Schizosaccharomyces pombe: one gene and its partner. The gene in region 2 interacts genetically with the main gene of each other region. Each region holds a gene or a part of one and is shown on either strand. Other genes may lie near its edges.

The links.
Region 1: of SPOM_SPBC27B12.12C (region 2) and apl4, a mutation in one rescues a mutant of the other (synthetic rescue), as found in Schizosaccharomyces pombe (one large-scale study listed by BioGRID).

Annotation. Positions count from the first base shown.
Region 1 is NC_003421.2:2,400,125-2,405,564, reverse strand, and holds apl4 (AP-1 adaptor complex gamma subunit Apl4), read right to left. Parts: upstream 3,569-5,440; 5' UTR 3,499-3,568; coding exon 988-3,498; 3' UTR 762-987; downstream 1-761. Other genes in the region: protein Cwf18, read left to right, coding at 22-450; acyl-coA-sterol acyltransferase Are2, read left to right, coding at 5,192-5,440. UniProt on the Schizosaccharomyces pombe protein: Adaptins are components of the adaptor complexes which link clathrin to receptors in coated vesicles. Clathrin-associated protein complexes are believed to interact with the cytoplasmic tails of membrane proteins, leading to their selection and concentration.
Region 2 is NC_003423.3:1,350,286-1,356,133, forward strand, and holds SPOM_SPBC27B12.12C (CorA family magnesium ion transporter), read right to left. Parts: upstream 3,944-5,848; 5' UTR 3,458-3,943; coding exon 1,046-3,457; 3' UTR 574-1,045; downstream 1-573.

The DNA of each region.
Region 1 (5,440 bases), on a different chromosome or scaffold from region 2:
GTTTTTGTATTGGAACAAAAAATGTCTTCATTAGATGAGGTAGCAGAGTCCAGAAAACAGAGATTAGCGGAATTGAGGAAAATAAAGCAGTTAGAGAATAAAACTCGCGATTCTCAAGAGGTTCAAAAAAATGTAATTGAGCATCGAAATTATGATCCAGAAGTGCAGGCACCTAAAATGGGATTCGTGGAACCGCCAAACATGATTGAATCAGTTGAAGCATTATCGAAGGAGATTGAAGAAAAGACTAAGAGAAAAATTGAAGAACAAAGTTCTGTTCCTGTTGAAGAACTAGATTTGGTAACTTTGCGACCTAAAAAGCCTACATGGGATTTAGAAAGAGATTTAAAAGAGCGAATGCGGTCTCTGGAAACACAAAATCAAAATGCAATAGCATTTTATATACAACAGTTAATTTCTGAACGTGCGCATAGTACTGAAAAAGCTTAAAGCAAGACTAATGCTTTCTAATGTTGGATTTACTCTCTGTTAGTTAATATATAATTCATAGGCTTAATTATTGCATTGATCAATTGTTAAAGGAAATAAGTTTAGGATTTTACATTTTATACTTTTCTAGTTGCGATTGTATTGGAGGTATGCACTTCTATTAAAATAATATTACAGCTTTAATTCTAAATCCGACCACTTCTTAATGAAGGGTTTGGAAGGTCAAATTTCCGTTCAATGATATACAATAAAGAATGAGCAAGTCTCAATTTGAAAATTACATAAGTGAACTTATCCAATAAGTATACCATGATTCCATATCGAGAAAATTGCTAAAATTATATAAAAAAAAACCTATTTTCTTTCATAAAAACAATTAGAGCTTTCATTTTCTATTACCTCATTATTCACTATTCTACGAACATTTTCTCGTAAAACTGACTAGACCCATCAAAAAGTGTAGCATGGATCATGTCAGAAATCTTCTTTGATAGCTCGAGCGTTATATTTTAAATGGCATTGTCCATACTTCGGATACTATTGTAAAAGGTCAGATGGCAACTTTCCAAAATCTACCTGATCGAGAGTATTTGATCCACCTTGTCGGACCACAGAGATACGTAGACGCAGTTTGACTTGAGAACCCGATGGCCCATGAACCCGCAGGGTTTGAGAAGTTTCTCCACCAGGCTCCATACTTGTAGTCCTCAAGGGCTGAATTTTCAGTTTCTGTGATTTGGGAACTGCCACTTCTAGATGTATTTTCTCAACCCTAGTCATTGGATTTTTATTTTTAAATTTAGCTTCAATGACGGCTGTTTTGGTACTTTCTTCTTTGGATGGCACCAAAGTTAACGTCACATCGTGTTTATCAAATACAACAATAGGAGGGTATGATTTGGAAGTTGATGGTATGGAAGAAAGCAAAGACAAGTTGTTTGATGGTTGGCTGGCTGAAGCATTAAAGTCCAAAGAAGCAAAGCTGCTTGCCAAGCTGTCAACCGGTTGAGCTGAAGGCGCCGGAGAAGCAAATAAACCAAGGATATCTTCAAAATGACTCTTTTTGGAAGTAGAAGGAGCGCGGCTTAAGCTGGATTGAGGGCTTTGAGTCATTTCATCCACTGGTGTTTCTAAGGGCTCAGCAACAGAAGGGGTAGTTAACCCAATGAGGTCTAGCAATTCGTTGCTTTCCTGAACACGTTTTTCTACGTGTTTGTTAGCCTTTAGCTTTTGCTCCGCATTTTGATAAGGCGTGGTCCTAGGAGGAGGCAGAGGAGCGGGAGTTGGTTCTAGAATTGTCTTGCTCAATTTGGAGTCATTTAATATAAGGTGGAACTCGACAGATCTTTGTTGCACCTCGGTGTTCTTGTTTCTCTTATAGGAATAAATTATCTTGTCAATACGAGAAGCAGTAGAAGAAGAACCTAGACGAGCACTTAACTTCGTGAGAGCGAAAAGACCATATTGAACAATTATGTACCTAGATGCTTCAACGCTATTAAATACTTCCTCAATAATGTCCACAATATCAGATTCTGAAACAGAATGAGGAAGGGTTTGATCATCATCAAAATTCATTGTTGGTGAAAGAAGCATCTGACCATATTCTCCAATTACCCAAAAAGCAGAAAGAGTTAAAGCTTCCTGAGATACATCTTCCTTTAAAGCAGCGTACAACTTTACCACAGCATATTCATGAAGTTCAGGAGCACTAGCTATGAGTCGTAAAAACGTTGAAAGAGTCGATTCACTGACAAAGTTGCCAGCAGATTTGAAGACTCGTAGAAGGGTATCGAAATGCCATCGCTTATTGGGAGCAAAAGCATTTGTGACTTCTGTAATATATTGAGCAGTGGATCCACGTAATTCATCAGAAACGTTATCAAGAAATGATAAAAGCTCACGCACCATGAAACGAACGTTCGCCTCATTAACGAGAAATGTAGAAAGTTCAAGCGCACGAGATTGAATAGAACTGTCGACATCATTAAGACAAGCAAGGATAGTTGATCGGTGACGCTGAACTGCATTTTCTTCACTATTTACAACGAGTTTCAGCATATTAAGAGCAACATAACGAGTGTTATTGTCACGATTACCTAAAAACTTTGCTAAAATATTGACCCCCAAAACTCGAAGGCTACTGTCAGAATTAAGATCAAGGATGGTACGCACAGCTTGATAAAGAATAGCATTACCTGCATTTCTAGAGGAATCAGTGTTAGTACAGACTTGAGCTAAAAGATCACTCATTTTGTCGTAAATTTTAGGGTTATTTTGACCAAGTATTGACAAAAACTGAAGGATTTTAACTTGCAAAAACGGATCAGATATATTGCCAATGTTATGCTCAGAGGAGTAAGTACTAGTGGACAATTGACGAATACGATAAATCAAATCGTCAGCTTGACTTTCAAATCGGGATATTAGCGACGGATTTATTTTGCAAGCACTGATGGCAAAAGCAAGAGCAGCCATTAAAACACCATGACTTTTTGAATGTAACAATTCATCGGTTTTCTCAATATATAAACTTTCCAAATCCGGTTCTTTTTGAATTACTCTAAGTGCACAGAGAACAGCCTTCTTTGATATATAATTATGATGGTTAGAGCAAAGTTCGGCTATGTCGTTTGACAAATCCCTTGCAAGCTCAGGGCCAGCGACATTACCAAACGCAGATAATGCCAACCCCACAATAAATTTGTCTCTAGATTTCAAGTCATTTTGAAGAGAATTTGTCAATAACGTCAAAACTTCCTGGTTCTCGTCTAACAGAAGCATAGCTGCTAGGTATCCCAAACGTTTATCCATGAATCGCGAACTCGACAACAATTTTAAACATTCAATCTGACCAAAGTGTGTCGGCTCACCGAGTAGAAATAAATATAGCAGCTTGGCAACATTTTTTCTGCGCATACGCATGTCATTAGAACCTTGACGAATGTTTTTTCTGATTTGAGCCGACTCTTTGAGAATCGTTGTGTGCTCCTCAGCAGTCGTTTTGGATGCCCGAACAGCCTTTATAAAAGATTTTAAACTTGACATCTTTGGATGCGTCTTTGGGGAATTGGTGAAACCTCTTTCCACTCCCGAACAAGTAAGATGCAGGTTCTTTGGATGTGTTGTTTGCATTACTTGGCTGTTGCTTGTACATGCGGTAGGGTATTGCACGGTAAATTTCTTTAAAACGAATTTAACGTTGCGACTCTTTCGTCAATCTATCAATAATGAATACTAAAAAATATGCTTTAAATAAAATAAATTTTAATTTGTTTTGTTGCTGCTGTGTTACGTTAAGTCAGCTGAAGTGTCTTTTTTTATAATTCCTAGTTTTTATTAAGCAGATGTAAATACCATTTATATTGATTAACTTAATATTATGTTACCACTTATTGCAAGTACATTTAAGAAGGTGTACTATGGCTAAGAGTTGAATATTTTTTAGGTATGGTTTTTGTGCTTTTCAGTAATCATATTACGTTTAATACACATTCCCTTATTAGAGGTTCTTAATAAAATCCATGTGCAATACTAAAGTTATCTTTCCATCCGTACCAATATTCACTGAGATATTTTACGTTCCTACTATAATTGATTCCAGTAAATATTAACTTGCATTTCTATGAGATGTATTGAAAGCAAACAGAAAAACGCAATCTAAACACAGAATATATAAAACAATGAAAATCAAATCAATTTCACTTAACAAAATAGGATGCAGCTTTAAACGACGCTCAAAACTGATGCATTCACCAATACTGCACAAATTAAAAGAATACCTAGCTTCCTTTGGTTATCTGTGTAATTTTTGAATTATCCTATCGAATTTGCTATATGGAGTTGTTAATTGATGGGCAATATCTGGAATTTATGTTTCTCTATTCGTTCTTGACCACGCTATGTGGCTTTGCTTCTTAACTATGCAGTTTGTAACCAGTTTTAATGGCACGTTAAATCACAGTGAGTTGTATTTGTGCACTACTATATTGCGATATGCAGGTAACGCGAAAATCGGGTATTAAGGTGTTATTGTAAATTATTATTGAAATGCTCATAATATGTAAACTAAGGGAAAAAGGTTCGATTGAGCATTCTTTTTTGTTTGTACCTGTCAGTCATTTGGTAATAAGCTACAATAAGCAAGTGCCAATGTCGTATCACATATAGCGGATAAATGAATAGGACATGTGATATATAGTGATACGTAACGAAATTTTACATAACGTGGTGTAGTATTGCAGATATTGCTGAGATCAGGTGGTTCATCGTCTTAGCTCGCAATTCTAACTTATCAACTCCTTTGCTCATTTTGAAACTGGAGACTTGGCTTTTCCTTACATAAATCGCATAGAACGTGAATTGCTTAGGAGTTCGAGCTTTTTATTTACTTCCATTCTATAGTGGAACATTTGGCATAGAATTTTTATTTTTGGAATCACGACTGTGGAGTTTTCGTCATACCAGTTCTGTCATCTTGAAATTCCAAGTTGGAACTTCCATCAATAGATTACATTTCTAAGTTTCTTGCTTTCATTCCTCAATTTTTTATTTAGAAGCGAAGCAAAAAATAAATTTAATCTTCCTACGTTCATATCCGCTTCTTTTTCAATTTCTTTGATACTGTTCGCGATACGTAGCTGCTGATTTTACGTTATTTTTTTGTTTTATCTTTTTCTTTATATATTTATCTTTTTTGTTATATATTCACTTAGTTGCTTTAATTGCTGGTTATTTAAAGATGATTGCTGCAACACCCGCTAAATCCAAACCATCGGATGTCAACTTGGAACAGACGTTCAAAGGTGTTTCTGAAACCTCAAAAATTGACCTTCGAAGGTCTAGGGCCGCTTACCGACCTCTGGAATTATCTCCTACTCCCTCGATTTTTGCTCGTAATTATCAACGTAATGCGGTAGACTTTACTGGATTTTTTGTGTTATTTTGGGTTGCTGTCTCTATTATGATTTTCATGAGCTTTTTAGAAAAT
Region 2 (5,848 bases):
TGGGTTTGCGAAACCGAATCCCATATGCTTCCAACTTAGTATGAGCAACCAGTTTTTAAGATGAAATGCTTAAATTAAATGCGCTTTCACCGAAAAACAACTAATTAAATACCGGCAATGCTTTAAACAATTAAATGAGTGCTCGATTTTGTAGTATTTTGAGTTCATTAATTACTTATTCAGTTTCTTCGTATTTACTGTTTGTATATTTCTTTTTCATTACTAAAAAGATGTTATTAAAAAAACCACTTACGCCAGTAATTCCTTAGTCGGCCATGAACACGATAGCACTTTCTTACTTGGTGTTTTCCAAACCTGAACTGTTGATTAGCAAGTAAAAGTCTAGTGTCGTAATTTTCATTAGACAACTTTTGAGGAAAGAATAAACTCATATGGCTCAATTTTTTATTGTTCTACAGTTTCATCAAACGAAATTTAGTTACACAAAATGGGAGTAATGAGGTCAGAACTCAATTCTTTTAATTTGCAAACGTCTTAGGCTGTTCGTCAGAAAATACAAAGCTATACGCTATGATTAACCATTTTACAACTAACTTCTATCGATAAAATCAATTTCTCCGCCTAAAAGATGTTATTTAACATTATCCTATATACAAATTTTTATATATCTACCTCATGACCCACGATTCCTCGGCGATTAGTGTAATATCCAGCAACGGAACAATATCTAATAAAGATATCTATTTGCTTTTTATTTCGTTCCCAAATTGTATTTTCCTCAGAATATTAAAATAGAGCAAAAAATTAAAAAGAGTATAGCAAAAATACTATAGAGAGATAGACAGATAGATATATAGCATATATATATATAATAATAATAATAATAATAAAAATAATAATAATAAATGTAAGATGATAATAATAATTGATCCATTTTTCCTTCAAGAAAGAATTTAAAAGAAAGGTTATACATAAAGAATATTAAACCCTACTTATGGCAGAAATAGATGTCTTTGAAAATAAATTGATGATACTCATGGCATTTCAATGCTTAAATATGTGTAATTGAGCAAGCTGACTGGCTTTAAAAGGCATTGTATCGCATAGTAATAATCCAGCCAATTGCAATTGAACCCAATAACACACCCAGAATACCAAAGAACCAAGCCAAATTGTTAGTATCTCTTCCAGGGACTGGAACGTTCATGCCGAATAAACCGGTGACCAAGTTCATGGGAACAAGCAAAGTACCAATAAGGGTAATTTTACCTAAGGCACCGTTAGTGCGAGAATTCTCTTCGATTGAATTTGAGGTCAATTGTGCAAGGTAATTACTGTGTGTGCGTGACAAGATTTTCTCAAACTGGGAAAGGTTGGAAGTCATGGTGACTAAATGGTCTTGAATGTCTCCAAGGTAAAGACCAATTTCACCAGTAGGGGCAATAGTCCATTTTTCATTGCATCTCTTAGCGAGCATTTTAATAACATCTGCCTTTCCATATAAAAGTCGGAACATTCCCATTGTCTTTTTGCGACATTCACCAATTCGTCTCAACATATCAGAAGAATCTTCACTACGCCCAACAAGTACCGAGTCTTCAATAGCCTCGGTTTCAGTTTCAATACCACGGATCAACGGAACAAATGCATCCGTAATGTCATCAATGAGGGCGTAACAAAGCCAGTCAGAGGAAACATGCACATAATCTCGAAGTTGTCGAGCACGACGTCGCACAGAAGCTGGATGGGTAGCTGAACTAAAGTGGAAGGTTAACAAGCCCTCTCTAAAAACAACGATATACATGTTCAAAGGCTCCAAATAGTTGGCTAGCTCGGGATCCTGTTCAAAAGATCGAAAACAAACGAAATAGTAGGAACCGAAAAGCTCAACTTTTTCTCTTGCTTCCTGAACACGAATATCTTCTGTAGTCAAAGGATGAATCGAGAATGCCTTCGAAAGTACACGCATTTCTATATCAGTAGGATCTAAACAATCCAACCACCAAACACCCTTCTCTGGACAAAATAAGGAGCGGAAACTAGTCGCCCCGTCATCCAGTAAATCCGATAATACAGATGCATGGATAGTTTCATTTTGATTAGATGAAAAGAAACTAAACCGATAGGGAGAATCCGACATAGAAGTAACAGATCGTCTCCCGCCGGAATAGTAAGAAGACCGAAGAGGAACCTCTGCAGCTTTTTCTGCATTATTGGAGTGCAAGGAGCTAGAGGGATCATTAGGATCGTGTGGACTTAAGTCATTCCAGTGAGGCTCAAAAGGCTTACAAGTACTATATTGCCTAGAGCGAAAGTGATCAGTATTCTGCCTTTGTTTTTGAAGTTCCTCTTCTGCGAAATTGTCAAGTTCATCGAAATCAATTCCCTTATTGACATGCGATTCTTCTTGCATAGGAAAGCACACATCTTCCTCAACGACCCGTGTATTCTCATCGACTTGAGAATCAACTTCACGGTCCTCATTGTCTGCAATAGAAGAATGTGTGCTCTTAAGTCTTGGTTGAACAGTAAACGTCTCATCGGAAAACTGAGCAGTGGACTTCGTTGGAAGTTCGGTGAGATCTGTATCCGACTGGTAGGGGGGTTTTGGAATAGTGGTGTGCGGACAGTCTACCGCGGCGGAGCAAGACTTGGTAGCACTAGGTCTACGGGGATGAACCATAAATGAAGGATCCTCGACAGAGAGGTACAATGTCTTGTCTATAGGTAAATTTTCGTCACTGCCAGAAACATCGGAAGAAGAACTCGAAGATAACGAATCAGAATTTGAATCATTCTTTATACTCATAGAGGACACCGAATAAAGAGAATCGCTTGAGGAAGATTTACGACTTTTGCTAAGATGGTAATGTGTACCGAGAGTATCAAAACTTCCGCGACCTTCGTTATAGCGGCTTGCATGTTGAGAAGAGGAACCCATGGAAGCAGATAAAGCTTTGATATCCGGAATACCATCAGGTACCTCCAGGGTAGACTTTGGGCTGTGTTTGACACGTCTACCACGATGTTTCTTGTTCGACTGTGGTTTCTTTGAATCCGAACAAGAACCGCATGTCGGGCAAACATGCAACGTGTCCATATCAGCAGAGGAACTCTGAGTGGCGGGTATTTTCTTCCTGGATGCTTTGCGATTCCTTCGAGAACGCTTCTTTTTCTTGGGCTTTTGAGGCACCATTTCAGATTCATGAAGTTCTATTTCAGACTCCTGAGGTACGGCATATGCAGAAGGAGTGGCATAAGTTGTCTGAGACGAAACGGGACTTTGCACATTTGCTTCAAGATGCTGAGATGATTGAACCTGCATATTTCTCTCAGGTTCAAATGGAGAAACACGAGGAGTACTTACCGAAATGCCACTTGCAGAGAGGGACGAAACCTGGGTGGACGAAGAAGAAGTAGCTTCGTTGGAGGAGGTTTTCTCTAATGCATTGTTGTTTCCTCCTTGAGCTCCGTTGGAAGGTTGTTGAAAAGACATGTTGGTTGGGGCATATATAAGAATTAGCCTTTCCTGTCAAAATAATAGGTAGCAAAAAAAGAATGAACTCTAATGACTGTAAATGATTTGAAGCAGATTAAAAATATAAAGGCAACTAGCTGGGACTAGTGACAAAATAAAATATTTCTGTTAGAAGGATATATTAATCAAGTAAGGATTTCCTAAAACGAAGATTGAAAACGAACTAGCGAGCGATTGTAACAATGGTAGTCGTTGAATACATTGATTAAGGTGGCTTCTTCACGCTTCCCAGAAGCACGAGAAAAACCTCTGAACTTTGATGCACGAGCGCCAACTTTATCGGCTTAAAACAGCAAATTTCCAGAATATCGAAATTTTAAAAAGATTAAAAAATAAAAAATAAAAATTGTTATATTTTCTTTTTATTTTTTAATTAATAGAAGAAGGTCTTAGCTCAAAATTTGCAAATAACTACCTTCCTAAAAAAAATTGTGATACGGGGATGACACGTACCATGGAGAATGTACGTCCATTTGTATAAAGGAATGTGCTGGTTCTCAGAGCAGAAAATTTAAGGTTGTCGGTGATCGCACAATAAAAATAACTAACGAAGTGAACCGTCTCTTATTAGGTGATTTACCGAGTATCAAGGAACCTCGTTCCTATTTTGAGTCGCTAGAAGAAGGTGAAATGTATAAATAATGGACATGTTTTTACCTTCTCTTTTATTAGAATGAACTTTTATGATTTCATTGAAAAGAATCTATCATATTTTTAGATACATGATTGCTGCGAAGAGGAAAACATGGTCTTTCTAAGAGCAAATGGATTGACTGTTTGGTTTGCAAATCTATGTAAAAGCAATTCTGAAAATCAGTCATGAACGACACAAAGTCGTGAAAACACCATTTCTTTACTATTTATTAGGGGTTTAAGTTGACACAAGGTGACTTTAAAGAGGTTTTCTAAATCCAGAGTCTTCATTACTAGACAATGTATACTAAGGTGATTGTGTAAATCGCAACAAGAGCTATGATTTGACTTATTAAGCTTTAGCTTCAAGATTTTCTTCAATGTTTTACCTTTTTGAAATTTTCATTTCGAGACTGAGCCTGTAAAGTACTGTCTATTTGGAACAGTCTTTTTCCTTTTCAGCTTAAATCGTTTTAAAATGGAGGATGTTGCATAACCCAGTGCACAATTGTAATAAGACAGTGAATTGGAGAATGAAACTAATAATTTGTCTCTTCTCTACGCTGAATTTCTACATGCAACTACATCTTTTTGATTTTCCGAACGATCATCCATATACCGAAAGATCGGCATGAAATGAATTGACAAGTGTTACTTTGATATAATAAAGATGTAGCAAATGAAAATTTGGATAAATCAGGACTTTTGAATTTAAATTGAAACAATCCAAAAGTGTGATCGGTGTTTTCGTTTAGGATTTTACTACTTAAAAGGGCAAATGTCAATTTTGCAATTCCTTTTTTGAATATTTAGATACATGAAGGGATGTATTCTTGGCTTTTAAAACAGATTGATTTTCCATGGCTGAATTTTATCAATTTTCTTGACATTCTAAAGTTTTTTGCTCCATTAAGGATACACTCATTCTAATAGGTATACACAGAGGATTTCCAGTTTTCAGGATCCCCAGTTCTTGCTATATTCAATCGTACAGGTTTATGAAATCTCAACTTATAGCGATTGCTTCGATTGAAAACATCGATGCTTGAAAACTAATCACCAGTTCTCAATTTTTTTGGTTTTGTGGGAATGTGGAATACTTAAGATAATTCTCAGTCATGAGCTTGATTCTTCATTCTGGGATTTATTCCCGTCTTTTTTGGAGGAAATCTTGAAACTTTACTATTATGTACTGTTGTTTTCTTTCTTTTCAAATTGCTTTTCACAGATGCTATGTATTTTAGCCATTCAAAGCTTCAAGTACAATACAGTATTAGAAAGCCTAACCATTAATGATAATTGATTGGTTTCATAAACAAACATTTATGAGCATATCTAATTATATGGATGCAATCCTTTCACGTTGCAAATGTGAAAACATTGAGAATCAACCATTCCAAACATCTCCCACATGCTATTTCCCATGACCTGTTTATAGAAATTTTATATTACATAAAGCAGTTATTGTTAAATTTACTTGGAACGACAGAGAAAACCCATATTCGTGAATCGTAAAATTGCTTTCTTTCACTATTTTCTTAAATTTATGTATCATTCATGTCTAAAGGTTTTATAAAAGCTCTGCTTTTGAATTTATCACTAAACAATATTTTTTAACGATGATAAAACGCTCTATCGTAATAAAAACTTACTCTCCTTGCTCTTCACTATTCTGCGTTCCACCTCTCCACCATATCTGCATACAAACACTCGTAG